Linked DNA regions of Struthio camelus. The protein of the gene in region 3 interacts with the protein of the main gene of each other region in a pairwise test. Links are inferred from orthologs where the notes say so. Each region holds a gene or a part of one and is shown on either strand. Other genes may lie near its edges.

The links.
Region 1: the proteins of AP1M1 (region 3) and ZBTB43 interact in binary tests that used the Homo sapiens proteins (3 or more experiments, as listed by UniProt). The two-hybrid records come from large-scale screens. The link is inferred for Struthio camelus from reciprocal best matches to the Homo sapiens genes AP1M1 and ZBTB43.
Region 2: the proteins of AP1M1 (region 3) and AP2B1 interact in binary tests that used the Homo sapiens proteins (3 or more experiments, as listed by UniProt). The link is inferred for Struthio camelus from reciprocal best matches to the Homo sapiens genes AP1M1 and AP2B1.

Annotation. Positions count from the first base shown.
Region 1 is NC_090961.1:395,238-402,065, forward strand, and holds the start of ZBTB43 (zinc finger and BTB domain-containing protein 43), read right to left. Parts: upstream 3,013-6,828; 5' UTR 2,904-3,012; intron 1-2,903. UniProt on the Homo sapiens protein: May be involved in transcriptional regulation.
Region 2 is NC_090957.1:14,847,906-14,855,136, forward strand, and holds the start of AP2B1 (AP-2 complex subunit beta), read right to left. Parts: upstream 2,957-7,231; 5' UTR 2,875-2,956; intron 2,288-2,874; coding exon of another isoform or gene 1,746-2,287; intron 830-1,745; coding exon of another isoform or gene 704-829; exon of another isoform or gene 396-703; intron 369-395; exon of another isoform or gene 234-368; intron 1-233. Other genes in the region: PEX12 (peroxisome assembly protein 12), read left to right, coding at 704-829, 1,746-2,287, 2,957-3,356. UniProt on the Homo sapiens protein: Component of the adaptor protein complex 2 (AP-2). Adaptor protein complexes function in protein transport via transport vesicles in different membrane traffic pathways.
Region 3 is NC_090967.1:5,185,862-5,193,390, reverse strand, and holds the start of AP1M1 (AP-1 complex subunit mu-1), read right to left. Parts: upstream 3,023-7,529; 5' UTR 2,920-3,022; coding exon 2,878-2,919; intron 2,257-2,877; coding exon 2,100-2,256; intron 1,725-2,099; coding exon 1,657-1,724; intron 1,168-1,656; coding exon 1,037-1,167; intron 806-1,036; coding exon 658-805; intron 254-657; coding exon 127-253; intron 1-126. Other genes in the region: protein FAM32A, read right to left, coding at 3,910-3,978, 4,166-4,219, 4,366-4,504, 4,579-4,655; CIB3 (calcium and integrin-binding family member 3), read left to right, coding at 5,882-5,932, 6,240-6,274. UniProt on the Homo sapiens protein: Subunit of clathrin-associated adaptor protein complex 1 that plays a role in protein sorting in the trans-Golgi network (TGN) and endosomes.

The DNA of each region.
Region 1 (6,828 bases), on a different chromosome or scaffold from region 3:
TTATTTGATGAAACTTTAGCAGTAGAGTTAACTGCAGGATGTCCTAGAGTTTGTAAAGGTGTATGAAAGATTCTGCATTTCAACTGCCAAACAAATAATCTCATTAATCCCCCAATAAAGACTGACTGTACTCTTATGAAATGTTCCACCTTAAACAAAGTTTTCAAAAGTCATCATATTGATTCATTCAACAACAAAGGCGGCATAGAGTCCTAGTGAGAATGAGGCTTATGACTCTTCCAGGGGTATTTCCCTGTCATTTTATTAGATGAAAGTTGAAAGAGCAACATCCTGTGCAGTTGCAACACTACAATCCAATCCTTTCTTTCTGAGCTTTTTCAGATGTTATTACAAGATTCCTTAATTTAACATTTTAAATTATGTAAACAGGAAAGCGATACCTGAGCTGTACAGAATTTTTTGCATATGTACCTTGTATATGTGTGACAATGCAACAAAATTAGAGGCTAGAAGCTCAGCTAATAGCTCAGATTTTAATGTTTGTATTCCCACATGATCCAGATGTCTTACCACAAAGTTGATGTCATCTTAAGTAATAAAACTGTTCAAAATTTCTGCCTTAAATTTGAAGTTTAAGATAAATTTACATGTTTTTAAACATGAGAAATAATGACCAGTCATGAAAGACCAAGATTAACTCCCTGAATAAGTTAAATTTGTGCAATTTTTCAACTACATCATGTTTAAATTGAATACAATAGAACTCTGAAAGCCATGAAATAACAAGCAGCTTTCCCCTGTCAAATTCTGTTTCTCATCAGTAGGGAAGTGTCAAAATTTTAATAGATAGGGCTGTGCACCTTAGAGACAATATTTAGGAAGCTAGCAGACAGCACACACAGAATTTTAAGCACTTTTTGAATATGGTGCAAAAATAGACACTGAATTACAAACAGTTGCAGGACTCCAACTGAAGTAGTTCTATGGAGAAATGAAATGTAGAAAACATGATTATGAATCCTCGCTACAGATAACGTGCAAAATAACCACAGTACTTTCTACACAGTTACATAACTGTCAATAGAAAAATGTGCTGACTGGTGCACTGTGTTAAGATGCCAGAATTTGGCACAAATGCATGGCTGCTAAGAAGACGACAGCAATGTTTGCATACAAAATATAGATGGCTCAGGAGCGATTATGCACTTTGAAATTTACTGTTTTACCAGTTAGTTTAACTTTTCATTTTCAACACTCCTCAGTCTTTCCTCAAAGCATCAAGCTAGAAACGATTATGCACATCCTTGAACAAACTGCTTGAGATGCATTCCCAAAAGTATCTGAAAAATCTCAACATGAAGGTGCAAAATTGAAATCAGCATATTTTCCCCCTTTTAAATTAAAAGGGAAAAGAGTCTAGGGACAGTAAGCAATTCACCAGAAGTAAAGTATGACAAACTGTCATACCTCAGGTGCAAATGTGGAATTTGTACTGAATATTACTATACTTATAATTTCGCTATTTTTTAGCTAGTCTGAGAACAATTTGTCTGATGGGGAACATAAGCTGTTCTGCAATCTGAATAAGTCTTGATTTAGTAAATCTAACAGAATATTAGAAATAGCAGCTTTTAAATGACTTTCTTGGAAAGGAAGCTCTCTGAAGCATTTGCAGTTAAACTGATCTTCTCAAAATCATGACCTATGTAATAGCAATAAAGAGTATTTGCACTTTGAAATTTACTGTTTTACCAGTTAGTTTAATTTTTCATTTTCAACACTCCTCAGTCTTTCCTCAAAGCATCAGTCCTTCTATATACCTGTAATACCAACCCACTTCAAGAAACCAGATCAGCTGCTTATATTTATCACTGAGTAACAGAATACTGTCAGCACTAGTGTTACATATTTTTTCCACTTTGCTTAAAACAAGTGGACAAAATTATTGAAGTACATTTCTTCAACATAATAAATCGTTATCTAATACAATGATCATTACAAAATATTTTTTTAAAAGCAGCATTTATATGCAGATGTGTAAATTCTTTATCTCCTTTCAGAATATTCCCAGACATAAGCATCTATTCTACAATGCTTGCCTACAACAAAGATACCCTTTTATGATACATTCAATTGAAATTTAAATAGGCATGCCTGCACACCTAACAATTGCTAGCCTGAACTGCCATCCTTCAAAAAGGACACAGCTTAGTCCAAGAAGCAAATATAGCTTGGAAAACATATTTATTCACCATTGAAACAATTCCATTAGGGAGCAGAGCTGATATTATATATACCGAACTAACATGAAAAGCAAAGCCATCTAAACACACATAAGATATTTTTAACTATACATTTCAAGAATATTTGGGTTTTTCCTTCTGCAGAGGTTTTACTTCCTCCTTTTACAACCTGTTCTGTTTCTGCTTTTTCTCTACCCACGTCATAGAGAGCAAAGTTTTTCTATTTTAACCCACAACAAGTTTTTAGTCTCCAGGCTGGAACGCTCAGATGAAACACGCAAAGCAAACGTTACTGGCTTAAAAACAAAGTCACTTTCAAAAGCGCAGCACGCGGTTCCTCGAGGCCGTCGTACATAAAGCCTCCTGAAAGACGCGATTGTTTTACCCCAGCCGCGGCAGCCGCCCGCGGCTCATCCGCACCAGCGGCGGCGGGACCGGCCTCCGCCGGCTCCGCAGGCCCCGCGGCCGCCGACGGCCCCGCCCCGCCCGGCCCGGCCCCCGCCGCCGCCGCCGCCGCCGCCGCCGCCGTCCCCGCGCCGCGCGGTTCCCGGGCCCGGCGACGGCGGCGGGGCGGGGCCGCGCCGGGGCCGCGCTCGGGGCTCGCCGGGGGGCGGGGGCGGCCAGGCCTCGCGCGCCGCCCCAGAGCGGGCCCGCGGAGCCGGGGCGGCGGCAGCGCGGCCCCCGGCGGCGACCTCTCACCTGGGGGCCTCAGCGTCCCTCGCATAGCGGGTGCGGCCCGGCTCCAGGCGCGGCGCCACCGCCGCAGCTTCCCCGCCGCCGCCGCCGCCGCCACCACCACCGCCGCCGCTGCCCGGCCCACACCGGAAACCGCCTCCCTGCCAGCGCTTCCGCATCCGGGTCCCGCGGCGGGCGGCCCCGCCCCTTCCTGCCCGAGCCCGAGCCCAGGGGCAGCCGGGAAGAGGCGGCGGGGGGCAGCGGAGCCCGGCGGCGGCGGCGGCCGCGGTGGGAGGGGCTCGGGGAGCAGCGGAGCCCGGCGGCGGCGGCGGCGGCGGCGGCGGGGGGCAGCGGAGCCCGGCGGCGGCGGCGGGGGGCTGGGGGCTCGGGGCTCAGGGGGCAGCGGAGCCCGGCGGCGGTTGCGGCGGCGGGGGGGCTCGGGGGGCAGCGGAGCCCGGCGGCGGTTGCGGCGGCGGCGGGGGGCTGGGGGCTCGGGGGGCAGCGGAGCCCGGCGGCGGCGGCGGCGGCGGGAGGGGCTCGGGGGGCAGCGGAGCCCGGCGGCGGGAGGGGCTCGGGGGGCGGCGGAGCCCGGCGGCGGCGGGGGGGCTGGGGGCTCGGGGGGCAGCGGAGCCCGGCGGCGGCGGCGGCGGCGGGAGGGGCTCGGGGGGCAGCGGAGCCCGGCGGCGGTTGCGGCGGCGGCGGGGGGCTGGGGGCTCGGGGGGCGGCGGAGCCCGGCGGCGGCGGGGGGGCTGGGGGCTGGGGGCTGGGGGCTCGGGGGGCAGCGGAGCCCGGCGGCGGCGGCGGTGCCTCGGAGGCCGCGGGGAGGGCGCCGCCGAGGAGCGAGTGGCCGCGGGCAGCGCTGGAGCCTCGTCAGCGGCTGGAAAGGGCGGCTGCGGGGCGGGAGCGCGGGGCGGGAGCGCGGGGCGGGAGCGCTGGCCCGCGGCAGCAGCAGGGCCCGCAGCGCCGGTCGTTCGCTGCCTAAGGCGTTTCACGGAGCAGGTGCGGTCTAACGCCTTGAGAACGCACAGAGAGGCGATCGCACTGGAGCAGCACAGTGACGTTCCCCAGTCCAGCATCTTTTTCTTTATATTGGCAAGTTAATGGGTTTCAGGGGAAAGGGTAACAAATTTCTAGTAGGAAATTTTGTAAGAATTTGTACTCAAGAAAAGTTTGTTTTTGCCACAGTATTTGTGGTCTGAGCATGTGCTGAGGCATTATATCTATGGCCAAAAATCATGCCTTTATTTTAAGTTATTACAGCTTCTTCCTGCAATGCTTAAAGTACTTTATGTAATGTTCTTCTGCGGGAGCTACATCTATATGTAAGGAAGGCCTGAATCCCGTGAAGTCCTTTCCCTGCGTTCTAAATACCTGACACACACGTTCTTCCAATCAATTTCTCTGAATGAGTTTGGCACTCTCCTTTGTGTTTTCCTGATTGTGTAGAGCCAGGAATCATTCAGCGAGGACTCCGCGTGTAGAAATGCAGCACCAGATGAATATACAACAAGCACTGTTGTAATGAAATACATGTTAATAAATTATTCTATTTGTGTAAAAAGAGATTGATGTTTCTGTATATCCAGATGGGATCCCACTTACGCGTTGGCAGAGGGGAAATGACTTTTTGGAATAGCCCTCCATCCACTGATATGTGTGAAATACATAAAAATGGACAGATGGGATAAATCTTTGTATCCACTTTCAGGTTTTTCCCTTACTTTCATAAACTGTCTAGATTTTCGATATGAAATTTAGAGCAAGATTATGTTTAGGATTCTTTTAATGTTGAGAATAACTGAATTAGGAAACAGATGGTTTAGGAGTTGCTCCCAAAGCATAGCGATGTTGCTATACTGGCCATGAGAACAAAGTCTTAGAGCTGAATCAAGCTTCAAGCCTCTAACAAGGTAGGTAAAAGCTTTAAAAATGGTCTGAGAGAGTTGTGCCAGAAGCTGCTCTGTTTGTTCTGAATCCCTTGGATGAAACCAGCAGACATCCCTGATACCATCTCCCAAGGTTGAGTTTTGTCCAACTGGTAGATAAAGAGAAGGGGGTGGGGGGAAGCACCTGAGCTAGAAGGCAAATGCTATAGCAGAACATGCAAGAGTTAAGCCAAAATAAGAGTAATGACGTGTTTTGCATTTAGCTCTGCAGATGTCTGTGGGAGTGTTGTGTCAGCAGCACCATAAACGTGTGTAAGAGGTGTAAGGGAAGCACGTGTTGCATTGTTTGCCCAGTGACGGCACTCCTGGGTTCTCTGAGCAGGCTGTTAACACGCTTATCAGTGTCATTAGTTTAAAGGTGCAATTGCTTTTGCATCTTGGGAAAATTGGGGTTTAATCCAACATTGGGTGTGTCATTAAGTGGTATAGTGAAGGAAGTAGTAAGTCAAAGTGGTAGACCAGGCAAAGAGGTAACTTCTGTCATCAGTTTCAGTGACTTCATCTCAGAGTTTTAATAAGTAAGGGAAAGCGGATTCACAGAGCTTTATCCTAAGTAATAGGATGAGGAAAAAATACTTTCTGATACAGGATGGGAAGGAGCTATGGTTTAATACTGAGAATTAAACATTCCATTTCATTGTTGACAGGCAATTTTTTTGTTTTAACTGAAGTTTAAGCACAAATGTGCCGTCCTAGATCATTCTTCTCCGAACTTAAGCATGTAGTGAATAATGGATACATTCTCTTTGGAATCTTTGTACAAAGTTTGTGTTTAGTGATGGAAGCAATATAAAGGGCCATAATAACTCCCATCCTCCAATAATACTGCTGATTTTGTCTTGGTATTAAGGTGTATTATTATATAAATCTAGATAAGAATTGTTCAGTCTATGCTGTCAGAATTGAGAGCTGGGTTTAGTGATGGAAAGCCAGCATTTAATTCCTACCAGCTGTTTTAAACTAGATTTTAAAGAATGCCCATACAATGTACTGTGTTTAATTTCTCATATTACCTAAAGTATATCTACTGAATTTAGTCCTGGATGAAAACAGGCTTTAAATGAAACTAATCGGACGGATTACTTTCTGCAGTTCATTGGTAGCTGTATGTGATTCAGAAATTTAATTTAATGCAAAACTGAACAGAGGAAAACAAAGAAATAGCTGGAAACTCACCAACATCACATGTACTATACTTAAAGAGATGCATTTGCCACTCAGGGGTTGTGCTCATAATTGCTTTAACATTGATTTTCTTTTTACAGTTTGATTTGGGAGTTGATGTATTTTCCAATATAAAGTCAGTAAGAATAACTTTATAACCACAAAATTTCCCTGAAGATTCTCCTTTTTCTTTATTTATTCCACTGATGTTCTCCATTCCAAAGTTTATCAGTGCTGCTGTAGGCACTATCAGGAGGGGATAACCAGAGAGTGGTAGCTGGTTTTCCCCAAGGAGCTGATTTTATTGTCCTAGGACGGAACAGCCAGGGCCCTGCTGTTGTACTCATGCTAAAGACAGGTACCTGGATCAGCCAAACGACAAGAAATACTCTACAGTCAGACCGCTCAATTGGCCATGCAACAAGCACATACATGAACATTCCAAAAATAAGATGAGATTCCACAAGAACAATTTATAGGCTGAAAATAGATCAAAGACTTCCTTTGAAGCCTCCAAACAAGCCTGTGGCATTCAGGATAGTGTTTTTGTGCCAGCACGTTAAGGGAGGTTGTAACTGTACAGCTAGTAGGATTGTATCTTAACTTTAGAAAATTGACTTATTTCTATAAGGAATCAAGCTTCCAAACAAGTTCATACAGTTTTTAACAGTATCTTAGCTAAGAGACAACTGATTTCTAGGCATTTTGGGGAAGACAGACTACTGAAACTCTGTGGCTCTTGCTCTAAGAAAAGAAAAAAAGTTGTTCAAGTATAGCTACTGCTTTTGCTAGGTGGTATGGCATTTTTCGTACAGTTCATTTGTCAAGGATGCACCAAA
Region 2 (7,231 bases), on a different chromosome or scaffold from region 3:
AATCACTCCCTGCACTTCTCCCTTGCCTAATTCTCCAGGATTTGCCCCCCAACCCCTGCCCATTCCCCCCAGTCCTCCCAGTTCCAGCACTCACTTTCCCAGCCTCCTCCCAGGCCCCCAGATCTCGCCCCCACCCCTGCCCAGTCCCCCCCAGCACTGACCCCCCCCACCCAGTCCCCACCCCAGCACACACCCCTCATCCTAGTCCCCCAGGGTCCCCTCCCAGTACTCACCCCTATCCCTTCCCAGTCCTCCCAGTGCTCCCCTCCAGCGGCCCAGTAGAGTCTCCACCCCAGTACCCCCCCCATCCCATCCCAGTGCCCCCTCCCAGGATCCCCTACCACCTCCCACTTCCCCCTCCCAGTACTGCCGACCCCTCCCAGTGCCCCCAGCACCTCCCAGTGCCCCGGCGCCCCCGCCCCACTCACGGCGGCGGGCGGCGACGGACACACCGGCTGTGGGGGCGGCCGCGGCGGAAGCGGAAGCGGAGCGGAGCGGAGCGGCCGGGAGGACTCGCGAGGAGCGAGAATCAACCCTCCCCCCGCCTAGAGCGGCCGCGCCCCTGCCACCATAGAGGGGCGCGAGGCGGAGACAGAGCGCCGCCGCGCCCCACTTCCGGGGGAGAGCCCCGAGGCCGCCGCGCTCCGCCGCCGCGTTGAGGGCGTGGGGGCCGCCGGCTCCCCCTGCCGGCGGGGGCGGCGCCATGGCCGAGCTCGGGGCCCACCTCACGGCCACCCCGGCCGGCGACGACCGGCCCTCCATCTTCGAGGCGGTGGCCCAGGACAGCCTGATGGCCGCCGTGAAGCCGGCCCTGCAGCACCTGGCCAAGGTAAGGGCCCGGCGCCTCCCGTTCCCTGGGCCCACTTTCCATGAAACGGCTCTTTTCTGTGAAATGGCTGTTCTCCATGAAACGGTGGGCGACGCACGCTTCACCCAGAGGACAGGAGATGTTGGCGGTGGTGGGTTTGGTGCGTGGCTGGAAGGGTTCATTACTGGGCAGCGTGCTGCTCCCGCGCGTAAGCAGACCTGTTGCCCTATTGCGGCGCATGGGTCCTGGCGTCGGAGGCGATGTGAGGGGCTGCTGGGCGCCCTCCCTGTGAGTCTACAGGAGCCTCTCTCCAAAAAAACAAGTCCCTTCGGTATTATGTTTCTCATTTCCCTTGTGCTCTTCAGAAACTGCTTACTGGAAGCTGTCTTCAGACTGCCTGGCAAGCGTTAACCGCCTTTCTCAACAGTGTTGTGTCGTGGGGAAGGTCCCTAGAGGAAACTCAGCAGAAGGGTTACATGGCCTGTCCAAGACGGTAGCTGAAGTGCAGGACAAGCAGTCTGCGCCTGCACAGAGGGTGCAGACTGATGCAAGCTCCCTCTGCCCTTGATTCAAGCAAGCCAGAATCAAGATGGAAAACAGAGTTGGCTTGTGTCCCGTTGACTCAAGAGAGCTCAACTGTATTCATACGCAGGGAGGCATGCCTTTAGCGAGGACAGGTAATGTAGACAGTGAATACTTGACAGTGAATGCTTTGAGGGGAAACTGCTGCACAGAGAGAACGTCGAGAGTTTGAACACCGCTCTCTCAGCTGAGCTTTTCATCACCAGGATTCACATTTGGCCACAGCTGTGAGCAAGCATAGCAGTTTTGACCCATTCAGCTCACTTTATGAACTGCAGGCATAGTTTACAGTTACTGTAATTTAGCATCTGTCTGCACCATCAGCTCCTTCCCCATTTTGTGTTTCTTTCAATAGGTGCTGGCTGAGTCGAATCCTGGCCGATATGGCTCCCTCTGGCGTTGGTTTGATGAGATCTACATCCTCCTGGATTTACTGCTCCAGCAGCAGTATCTGGCCAGGTGCAGTGCCTCTTTTTCTGAAAACTTCTATGGCTTAAAGAGGATAGCAATAGGAGACTGCAAACAATCGCTGGCCAGTGCTGGCCTGCCAAAGAAGCAGCACTGGAAGTCTCTCCTTTTGCTTGTTCTTGTTCCTTACCTGAAAGGAAAGCTAGAGAAACTGGTGTCCAGTCTGAGGGAAGAGGATGAGTACTCCATCCACCCTCCCTCATCGTCCTGGAAGCGCTTTTACAGAGCCTTTCTAGCTGCCTATCCATTTGTAAACATGGCCTGGGAGGGCTGGTTTCTTATCCAGCAACTGTGCTATATCCTCGGGAAAGCTCAGCATCATTCACCCATGCTGCAGCTGGCTGGCGTTCGCCTGGTGAGACTGACTGCAGATGATATCCAGGCCTTGGAGAAGAAATCTGCAGTAGCCGCCTCGAGTCGGACACACAGGTACATTAGAACTCTGCTTAGCAGCTACTTGCTAGGAGGTTCTGTGGGTGGGCTGACGTAGAGGCAACGCCCCTAGGTTAAGCTGTCTTGTTCTCCAGAAAGATGAAGTTTACATGTGGCAAAACCCTGCTCCAAAAGGGAATGTCATGATAGTAAGTGTAAATAAGGAACAAAGTAAGAGGCATTAGCTTCACAGGAGTTTGTGCTAATAAAATCAGAATGCTTTTTTGGCACTCCAGCCTCCGTTCCATTCAATCTTTAGCTGCCCTTTTCTATTAAGGGAAGCAGACTGTACCCATTTTGCTAAAAGGACTGAAACTTAGCCACAACTAGTCATGGTCACATTTAATGTCCTGTAAAATGATGGTCCATGAGTGAAATGTTCTGTGATCCAGGTCCCCTCAACCCAAACTCTTCTGATTTAGACCTCTGAATAAAACAGGACTTGACATTTTCCTAGAGATGCTATGCTCTTCTTAAAACACAAAGAATCTGAGAGCAACACCCTAGCAGATGTCTCATTACAAACATGGAACATGTTAACAAAATCATTTAGCATTAAGAAGCTGTATAGAGCAGTAACTTACCCCAAACCTTTTTAGCCTTGGTTTGCAGAGGGACAAATGTGCAGTACTGCTAATTTCTCCTTTCCTTCTCTCCCTGCCACAGCATTAAGGCACAAGTGCAGTCAGCAATGAAGAAAGCTTTGGGTGGCATTGCCTTCTCCCTGTCCACTGGGCTGTCTGTCAGCGTATTCTTCCTTCAGTTCCTGGAGTGGTGGTACTCCTCGGAAAACCAAGAGACGATCAAATCTCTGACAGCGCTCCCTACTCCTCCACCACCAGTACACCTTGACCATGGGGCGGACTCAGCTCTCTTACCTAAACTGAAGACCATGTGCCCGCTGTGCCGCAAAATTCGAGCCAATGCCACGGTCCTGTCCACGTCTGGCTATGTATTTTGCTACCGCTGCGTGTATAATTACGTGAAGACTCACCAACGATGCCCAGTCACAGGCTATGCCACAGAGCTACAGCACCTTGTCAAACTGTATTCCCCTGAGAGCTGAAAGGCCGGCTCTGTGCTTTCACAGAGATGCATCTGAGACTGAGTGGCAGGGCCACTGGGTAGCAACGAGCCTGAATTTGCCCTTTCTGATGTCCCCGAGAAGACCATCGACCAATACAACTTGCAAGTGGATCTCTAAAGCTCCTTTGAGTCCTACAGATTAGACTTTTGCTGCCTTGGTAAACTTCGATAAGGCTCGCCCTCTTGTTTTTTAGCCATTCAAACATCCCATGACAAAGCTCCAGAAGGGTAGGACAGTCACGATCTGTCAGTCAGCATAGAAACACCTTCAAAGGCAAACTGAATGGGAGGAGACATTGATTTGGATAATAAGAATGCAGATGTGAGAACCAAAGAGCACTGCTGGCAAAAATCCTGCTCGAGGGTATGGCCAGCAAATTGGAGAGCTACAAAAATTGTCCAGGCGAGCTATTCCACCCTTAGCCGCTTCACAGACTCTAGTACTGCCTGGGGCAGGTTCTGGCACTAGCGCTTCTTAAAGAGGTAGAGACAGACTTTGACCTCTTTTCTGACCATGGTATTCTTAAGTGCCTCCATGCATTTTCAGGCTACTCGCCTCTGAATTAATGATAACATTACACCTCTAATTCCCATCAACAGTTCTAAATTAAGGCTTTGACTCTTTAAAGGAACAAGAGATGATATGTATAATGTGTACAAACACAGATACAAGACTACCAGGGAGGAAGACAAACTAGATTAAAGCAGCAATTGTGAACTGTTTTTTTTTTTTTGTTAGATGTGTCCTCAAATCTGTTGTTATCTGCTTTTACAAAGCAAAATTCTTTCTTGATTTAGAACCCATTTGAACTAAATGAACTGCATTTGTTTCTTTTCTAATGTTTGAAAAAAGAAAGTTTGCTCCTCTAGGATCTTTATTTGCACAAAGGAGACTAGACTAAAGCTGCTCTTATCTTTGCAGATGATGGTCATAGATAAAAGATTAGTATTTTGCAGGCTGGAAAGCTGTAATATCTGTGTTTGAATTTAGTATTACATTGCTGTTATTCCAGTCCCAATCTAGACTGATCATGTAGCACATTGAACAGGGAATAGAAGGAAATGTGCATGATGTTATGGGTGGTCCTGGCTTCAGACCACTGACTGATCAGACACATGATTTTTATTGACAGAAGGTTGATTTTCTTGACTCATCTCGAGGGAGCAGCAGTTATCTGCTCCAGACATCACGGTGACATTGCCTATAGAATATGAAGCAGAGTTTGCTGCACAGAGTATACTGTCTTTCCAGATTAAGAGATATGCTCTAACATTTAATCCATAAAACCAATGATCTCATTTCCCCCCCCCCATTTTAGCCCTGCTTCAGAAAAAAAAAAATCAATAAAATTGTCCCTCATCTGTGAGCAAGATAACGAGTGTATTGAATAGGCTGGAAAAATACAGTAATTTGCATTCTCCCAAAGGTGCTCTGGGAAAAAACACACAAACAAACACACACCACACAACTTTTCTAACAAATGAGATAAGTCCCCAATGCTTATTATTTCTATACAACTGCCAGCCCCTTCTAACTCTGCCGCTATGGGATAACAACAAAAACTGTCACGTTTTTTCTTACCTCCAGTAGTTCTGGGATTGATAGAAAAGAGATACCTCTCTTCCTTTAGAAAGCTGTTAAGAGTACTTACACACAGCTTATTGGAAAAGAAATCACATTGAATGCAAGATTTTCTGAGATTTTAAATCACTTTTAATATAGCTGGCTTTGGGCTTCATATTAACTCACATCACTTGCTACATCAGTTTTGCTTCATACACTGAGATTATCATCTCTAATGAAAAGCCACTATCCAAGATGCTCCCCTGTTGCTACATGGTCTTAAAATAACCAGTCTGATTATACAGACATGGCACTGACTGTCCCATTGACTCCAGAGCAACCGCTCATTTAATAAGAGCTGCAGGATTTGACTGACTATTCAGTTTTAAGATAGGTTTGTTTTCCTTCGGTCCTTTCTATACCTTCCAGATTCTCTCTCTCTTGCTCAGTGAGAAACTGGGCAAGCAGGTAACGAGTGATCTCAGAGTTAATAACTATTTCCCTCTCCAGAGTGGCCACTGGATGGCCTCCTGTCCGGCTCTGGCTGCCTTCCACTCCATCTCTCTCCTCCCCCATGCTGTACAATGCTGAGTTCCTGCCAAACAGATTTGGCCGACTCCACCTGGGACCTGCTCAGAACCACCCACATCTAAGCTTCACAGTTTAGGACAGCTGTAATTATTCTTTTGAATGTTAAATTGCTCTTTAAAGCCTATCTGACTAATAGGCATTAAGTCCATAATGGTGACACACTTGGCAGTTACCGGGCAGATTTTATTAGTGTTCCTGCAGGTGGCTGCAGGATACCAGTTTGGATCTGACTGCTTTTGCTAACTGGCCTGTGCTTAGTAGCCAAATACCTGTTACATTAAGTTGGCTGCTCTAAACAAAGCTACAAAACCAATGCACATTACTCAAACATCCCCTTTTTCTACTTTGTACACTGCAATAGTACTGTTAAAGCCGTGATGGTATCAAGACATACAAAGAAAGACTTGTTAAGGAAATAAATACTCTTTTATTACACCAGCCTTCACATTTACATACAAATTGGGAGCGCTATACACTCATGTATCATATATACGCTCAGGAAGCTTTGATCTGTTGCTTAATACAATTACTTCAACATTAACAGTGGCACTGGAGTTACCTAATACCTCACTGTCATAACTTGATTTTTCCAGTGTTTTTTTTAAAAAATGTTTGAATGCGGCTTAGCTTCATTACAACTCGGTCACTGTTCAAAACATGAGTGCATTAACAATTGAGTTGCTTTCCCTACTTCCTTAACGGAAACTGCATAGCCTCTCTTGTTAAGAGATAACCACCATATCTATTCTCCTAGCTTGATAAGAACAAAACCCAACATAAAACATACACCTCCCCCATAGAAGCTTCCCTCTCCACACAAGTGAGAGGTGAATGTAAAGCTGTCATCGAGACCTAGAAGAAAATGAGAACAGGATTAGAGAATACCTCCATATCTTCTTCTGCACCTGCTTATTAGCCCAGTCTTTGTGGCTGGTGAAAGGGCTGCACCTTATCCCACACAACTCCATGTGTTTCGATTAGTCCCACCCCTCACTAAATGCAAACTATCTAAAGTCAAACATCCAGGTGATACTGATGGCTTTTGGAAAAAACAACCAGAACAAAACCCCCAAAATTAAAAATGCCCTCTGCATCAGCCCACAGAGTCTGGGTGCTTTTGTTTCTAGATACCTTTCCAGGTTAGGGAGTCACATGCCATCACAAGCAGCCATTTGAAAGCATAACACTGACTCTAATACTAAAGATATTTGGAGAGTTCATCAAGGCAAAAGAATCAAAATTCAACCTAACTCATTATACTATCTGCAAATTTTCTTTAGTGAAATTGTTCCTGTGCTTTCCGAGATACAAATCACTTCCTAGAGCTAGAGAATCCATTTTGTTTCACAGCATTTAGATTTTAGAAGTTACGGAAACATAGCTGTATATTGTACTACTCATGCACAACTAAAAATCTGAGTCTATAACACAGCTTAAAGAAAAAAACACCTTGCATACAACAGACAAATCATTGTGAAACAGCTGATGTGAATCATGCTGGGCTCTAGCTCACATATCGGGCTCTGTGTGACTCCTGCCTAGCCTGGTCCTCCTAGGGCATAAAGGGAAAGTGTTCCCAGTAACTTTCTCCCAGGAAACCCCAGTGCATAACATGTAATAAATACCCTCTCCTGTGAAGACTTTTGGGGAGTGCTTGATTACTGCATTTTTTCCAATACCCGAATTTTAACATCCTCTGC
Region 3 (7,529 bases):
TACACTGGCAAAGGGAGCAGTTTATCTTCTAAGAACAAATCCTTTCACCTGACCCTCAAGCATTTCAAAGTCTAAGAATTCAGACAACATTCTCGATGATTACAGAGGTATCATTGAAATACTCACGGCCTGTATTATCAAAGAGAACTTTGTCATTTAAACCAAGGCGAAGCTCTGGCATTCCTGAGAGAAAGACTCTCATTTTAATGGATCCAACAATCTCACTCCGTAATACATTTCCATTGGCACTGACCTGAGGAGCAAGGAAAAGAAAGGTCAGAATGCCCTGATGTCATATGTCACGAGATCAAACAACACTCCGCCAGCCATCCCAATTTTCTTGGATTTCTTTCTCCTGAGAAGTCATGGAGTAGAATCAGGGAGGTGATGAGGACAGATGGAAGGAGAAGGAGCAAAGAACATGTCAGAGGCTAGCCTCAGACTGGTCAGAAACAAGATACATCCAAGTAAAGTACTATTCATCTACTGGGTGCTTTTATGCATACTCAGTCTTAAGACACACAGATTGTTTTAAGCATCACAGTGCACCCAGCCACAGTTAGTTTGACTCTCTATTGTACCCTTGCAGGCCTTGTAAGCTCTTTATAACACTTACTACTACAACTCTCAGTAAAAGTTCAAGAAAAAGGTACCCACCAGAAGGTTAACAGATTCTATAACATCCAGGAACACCTCATTTTTCCTATATTTTATCCCTTCTGATCTCCATGAAACAGCATTAGTAACAGTGGCAGGTGGACGGGGAGCTCCAGTTTCAAGTTTGTGACCTTCCTGAGTGATATACCTTTACAAACACATAATGGAGATAGAAAACATGAAAATTACACTTTACAGCTTTTGAAGCATCTTTAACGTCAGATTTACATAAAAGAAGTTTGAAGCTACAAACCTAAATCTTAGGAAGTATTTGATTTTTTAGCGAATAGATCAAGCCAAAACATTGGTTTGTATGTTGCAGAATACTCAAAGCTACCTAAGAAATCTGTCACTGAAAGTGAGGCAGACTGTTACTTACTCTTGTAAAATTTTACTATCAGTGGTTTGTGGATAACCAAAATCCATAAGTTCATCTAATAACTCATAAATAATAACAAAATTATCCCGAATGCTCTCTTCTTCCAGCTCCTTAAAATATTCAGAAAAAACCTGAAACAACAGTCAGAGAAAGGAAGTGAAGGAGGAGGGTATTAATTGAGGAACAACAGCATATTCACAATGCATACTTGCTAAAACACACCTCATTTAAAAGGGAGCTACAGCATCTTAGGCATACCTCTGACTATTATGAAAAATACTTATTCCAGTGAAAGTATTTTTCACGCCAAGTACAGATAAACCAAACATAAAACCTGCATTTTATGACACTATGCACGCACCAAATTCCTAATCCTCCTCTGTGTTCTCAGGTCTTACGCGACTACTCACAACATTGTGTCACATCCTTTGCCTACTCAGCTACCCGTTCTATTATTAGCCATTAGAAAGACATTTCTATAATATAACCAAAAACAAATTAAAAGTGCTATTACCACAGTGCTCTTTTTAAAAGAGTGAAAGTTCTACGCACTTTTATTTAGATCAGATTTAGATTTAATTGAAAATAGGCAGAAGTTAGTTTTAAAATTTCATACTCACCTGAACTACTTTATACAGAAATGAAAACACCAGTGATACACAAGCATTTTTCTTAGAAGTTGCAACAACTGATAAAGGATGTTCAGGAATATGCATTCAAAATTACCATTCGAAAGATTTTTTTACCAAGTGCATTTTCAAAGTTATGGTATGGCAATTACAGTTGGCCAAAACATTAAGATTTAGTTAACAGTATCTCTCGTCACGTTAGATGAGAAGATTCAGACTTAGTTTATTAGAGTAAAATTAATATAAATACTTTCCTATGCACTGTGCTACTAGTGCACACTACACTATCTAAGCCATAAAGCCATTTTATTTAATAAAGTCTTCCTTATACAACTTCACCTATTCTCTAGCTTTGCATGTAGATATAAACTGTGAAAATAACATATCAGCAATTAACATCAGCGTATGTAAATGACTTGCAATATAAAGGATACGATATAGGTTGTTATGTTTAATCCACATAAAACGAACTCCTCCGTGTGCTAGAATAGGAGAAAGCGTCCCCTCTTCTTCCTTCTCCATAAGGATTGGCATAAAATGCTCCACCTCTGACATGTCCACATCGCCGCGGTAATTTCGACAGATGAGAACCTACACAAAGAACAACAAAGCCTTTAATCTTTTTCTCTTTCTACAGGTGATGCTACCATCCAGAAGCAACACAAACGAATCCTCGGAAAGCCTCTTTAAGTAACTTGAGAGACATCAGTTGGTTTCACCCTAGCCACTCTGCAGACTATACGTGCAAGGTACAACTCCAAAATACTTTGTGGACTACAGTGCAAGCACTAGTTTTCCATTGAGAAGTCATGCATTAATGTTTTCTAGACTCACTCTCCCCCTATGGCAGCACACACCCTGGTAACAGCTTTTAAGATGGGGAAAGCACCTAAATCGGAGGAGATAAACGACCTCCAGTTACAGCAGAGCGTGATTACCCCAGACGGGATGCCCAGGAGCCCAGCTGGCAGGTGGGACAGCCGCAAACCTCCCCCCCCCCAGCGTCTCTAACGGCCCAGGACAGACCCAAGCCACCACTGCCCCCCTCGCAGCCCAGCAGTGAAACCGGCGCTGAGGGGCCCGCGGCCCCCACAGGCCCCAGCAGCAGCCGGGCCGAGGCCGGCGGCGCCCCGCAGGCCCCCTCAGCGGCGCGGGGAAGGACCCCGCAGGCCTTCCCACCCCGTCTAACCCTCGGCTGGCCCCGGGCCTCACCTTCCCCTTGAGGTCCAGCACGTAGACGGCGCTGGCCGACATCGCGCCGCCGCCGCCCGGGCCGCCCCGTCTCCGGACCGACCGACCGACTTCCGCCTCCCGCGCCGGCACTTCCGGCAGGAAGCGGCGCAACGAGGCCCGGCCGCCGCGAGGAGGGATACGAGCGCAGCGCCCGGCCGCCGCGGCGGAAGGACACCGCGCTGCCCGCGCGTCGCCTAAATAGGGCCCTGGGGGTGGCTGGGTTCAGACCTCTCTGGAAATGGGTCCGCCGCTCAGTAGATGGCCCCGGGGGTTGGGTTGGGCAGGAGTAACACCCAGGTGAGGGGCTGCAGGCCACGGGGTGGAAGCTGGTGGCCAACCCAGCCGTGGCAGGCCAACCTCGTTTTTAAGAGGCAGGTTGGAGTTTTGAACATCATCCCTCGGAAGAGAGTCGGAATTGTGCACAAAAGATAGAAATCGCAGGAAAAAGGCCCCATGCAAACACCTGTTTTATCACTGTGCTGCCCTTACCTCTTTGTACAGGTCACCAAACACCAAAAAAAAAAAAAAAAAAAGCATTTTAATGAGAAGTTACATCAGAGTTACAAGAGGATTTTAAAATACAGCAGAACCCACCCTGAGCTCTGAAAGAACTCTAGGTGCAAACAACTGATACCATTCCTATAATTTACAAGCAAAGCTAAGTGAAGAGACTGTCCGAGATTCTTCCGTTCCAAGAAGGAGAACAGTTAGTATCAAACTAATATAGAAACATTTTCCAGCTGGCTCCTACCAATTGCTTTTGGACTCAGCCATGCTTCGAGCTCTAAGAAAACAGCCCACTGCACCTATATAAACCAGAGCTTTCACTAGCGAAGAGGAGGCTTAGTTGACTACTTGGTGTAAAAGACAAAAACAGTGAAATAAGACAGCGCAAGGTCACAAACGTTCAGAAGATATATTAAACATTCAATACCGAGAATACACGGATTTACATAGCGACCCCTGTTCGATACAAACACAACTCCAAAGCCTTGTAAGAAAACCGCCCCTTCACTTCGTCCAGCTGACTTTAGGAATGTCGTAGTGCTCCGTCAGAGTATCCAAGTGCCTGTTAAAGTCCTAGGGGAGAGGAAGAGAGCGAAAACATGAAACGTCTGATGATTTCGCTAACGCCGAGGCGCGCCAGGGCCCCGCTGCCTCCCACCTTGGGGGCTTCACAGAGGCAAAAGGGCTCCTCCGGGCCCGCGCCATCCTCTGTGCTGACAAACACACGCTGGTCGCAGTAAGGAGTGAATTTAGTTCTCACCTCCACTCGCTGTTTATGGGTTTTAGACGCTTTCTTCAGGATCCTCTCCATTTGCTGTGGGGGGGGGGGGACACAGGAGAGGCGGTTACTTCCCCGCGCTCGTCGCCCCCTCAGGGGCTGCCTCGGGGGGCCCGTTTGGGCCTTTCAAGCCCCAGCCCGAGCCGCCGGGCCGGATTTAACCCCGGCCCGGGTCGCCCTACCCGCTTCTCCTGCATCTTCTCGTAGGCCACTTGCGCCGGCGTCCGCTTGTCCAGGCCGCGCTTCTTCTCCTCCTCCTGCTTCTTGCTGCTCACGATCTGCTCCAGGATCTGGCCCTTCGCCTTCGCCTTCTTCTTCTTCCTGCGGGCACAAGGCGGTCAGCGCCGAGCCTCCCCCCAACCCCGGCCCCCTCCTCCTCCTCCGCCGCCCCTCACCGCTTGCCGGCGCCCAGGGCGCCGCCGCTGCCCTTCAGCCGCAGCGGCCCGCGCTGCACCGCCTCGTAGTCCGCCATGGCCCGCGCAGCGCCGCCGCCGCCGCTCCCGCACTGCGGCGCCCCCTGGCGGCCGCCGCAACGTTGCCCCGGCAACGGCCGCGCGGGAGGCCGGGCGCCAGGAGCGACTCCCCCTTTTTCTGTGAGGAGAAAACCGTTAGGAGCCGCCCCGAGGGCGCCGCGCAGAAGCGCCGCTGAGGAAACCTCCTCCCGCCGCCGCCTATTTTCCACACCCAACGGACCGATTCTGAATAATTTTTACTGATTTCAAGGCGGGGCGGTGAGTGAGAGGCCGGCGTTTCTCCTCCCCCGAGGCGGGAGGATAGTTTTGCCTTTCCGGGGTCTCCACCTCACAGATGCATCCTCCAAACCAGGCGTCAGGGCTTCGTTTGCTGCTAAAGCTGCCAATTTACTGGATGAACGGCCGAGAAGGAAGGTTTTACGCCTTGCCCCCTGAACATGTATTATTATGCAGCCTGCTACGTGCCATAGAAATGCAGTCAGTTATTCCCTCGACCCTTAAGTTTCATATTTCATGTAACCTTTAACATCACATATCGGTTTTTATAGACAAATCATATATTGACATGTATTTTAGTGTAAAAACCACATATGTCTATATGTATGCATGCCACACTAATAACCATTAAATAGTGATAATGTATATTACTAGATAATGCAGAATAGAGTGATTGGGCTTTATAGATACTATCTCCAGTACAAACTGCCATGTGCTGTCTGTGGGCAGTGTACAGTAAATATTATAGAGAAAATTCAGAAAGAAAGGACGGGGGTGGGGGGGTTACTTTCATTATTACTTACTTCTAGTATTTAATGCTAATTCTTAGAGAAGACAGACATTCCAAACAGTTTTTAGGTCTTTTAAAATATTTGAAAGAATGAAAAAAAAACAAAAAAAAGCAATCTACAAGGTCTACTTACCATTTCAAAGACACGACCAAGAAGCTATTAGTTGTTTGTCCAAATACTGTAATATGAGTCTTTGTTGTGCACACAGGAGACAGGTGAGTGATGCTGGGTAAGAGCCTTAAGTAGCCAAACTAAAGATTAGATGAAATGCTCCTATTATGATTCTTTGTAGCCCATGCAATAGGGAAGCTGGTTACTTGATCCTCTGCTACCTGAACCTCATTGTTGCAGCTTTTAATGTCTGAATATCCAGACCTCCTATAAAGGTAACTTTGAGGAAAGAATGATGGGACAAGAACCAGCCTTCAGAGCCAGAAATGGGCAACAAGCAAACCATTTTCACTCCAGAGCAACTGGATGCATATCAGGTATAAAACAATGCCAAACTAAATGGCTATTTAGACAGCACATTGAATAAGGATGTGTTTTTAAAACAATCTTTTCAAAAATTGTTAAGTGTGGGTATTGTTACATCAAAGGTTTAAGTAACATAGTTTAATTTTGCCTCAAGAGGAAGAAGGGTTATGAAATAATCATTATTATAATGCCAAGAAAAGAACATTAATGCTTGGCCACTTGCATTACAATATGAGTGTTTAAGTCACTGTAGTGGAAAAGTTTGGGCCAATGCATTTAAAACTATCATTGCATATTATCTTTTCTCTTATTTCACAGGACTGCACATTCTTTACAAGGAAAGAAATTCTGAGGTGAGTCTTGTGTGTGCGTTTTGTGTGTAAGGTACAGAGATTGCTATAAAGGCAGGCTACATATGAGGTGGTTTTTAAAATATTTTAAAAATGTATTTATGCAAAATTAATGTGATAGAGGACAGAACAACTCCACATACCTTTGGACAATGTGACCCTCACTGTTGCTTTTTTATATACAGAAAGTACATCATTTGTCATGAACTGAGCCAGATCTCTAAATTTTTATTAAGGTACCAGTCTCTCTGTGTGAAATAAATGTAACAATTTATGTTTTACTGTACGCCTTCAGTGACATTCATGTTCCCTCACTTTGTTCCATAACAAATGCTTCAAAGTATGCTGTTATAGTGTGGGATACTTTGCCTATTTTATAAAATCAGTAATGTCTATATCAAATTTTATTCAGATTTTTCATCTCTTGATGTAAATAATTAGTCCTGGAAAACTGTTCTGCTTTGATACTGTAAGGTGCACTTTTCCCAAAGCCTTCATGGGCCTCATGGACCAATCCACTTAATATCTGTCCAAAGGAAGTGATAAAGACAGGTTCCCTACTTTGTTGATGTGGAATTGAGTCTTCACTGCAAACTTGAACTTGTTCTCCTCTTGTTGTAAATTGTACTTTCACAGATAATAACACACATAATAGCAAGGTTGCATTGCCTTTGCTAACCATTGGGCAAATTAACGGAAAGATAAAGGCAAAGTATCTGCATCTCTCAAGAGATCATTCCACGTTACTTGCTAATTTCTCTGAAAGACAGAGCACACGTGGCAATTTTATATGGAACGCATCCCTGATTAGAACCTCAGTACAAAATGACAAATGATTCTGTAATATGTGAAATGTAAAGCTGTCTGCCTTTCCGTGTAGTAAATAGAGGCCAGAACCATAACTGTATCATGAATAAGACATTTATTATTGATAGGGATCCCTTTTAACATTCTGTGCTATTGTTTTGTTGACAACAGCTGTGAACAGGATCCTTAGCCTAGTACAAGAACTGAAGAAAATAGCGTGGTGAAAAAGTAAAAAACTCATTCAAATGATTATGTGCATACTTTCTGTCTCCTGAACCTAGTTCTACAAAAAAAAAAAAAAAAAAAACACAGAAAAATACTTGGGGTGGGTGAAAGTATCCTAGGGTTGGTCGCAGATTCAAGAGCTCAATCTCTCTGGCTTTAGGCATCCAGATTTTTTTTTTCTTATGTTCACACCAAATCTTTCATGCTGCAGTGTAAACCTATTATT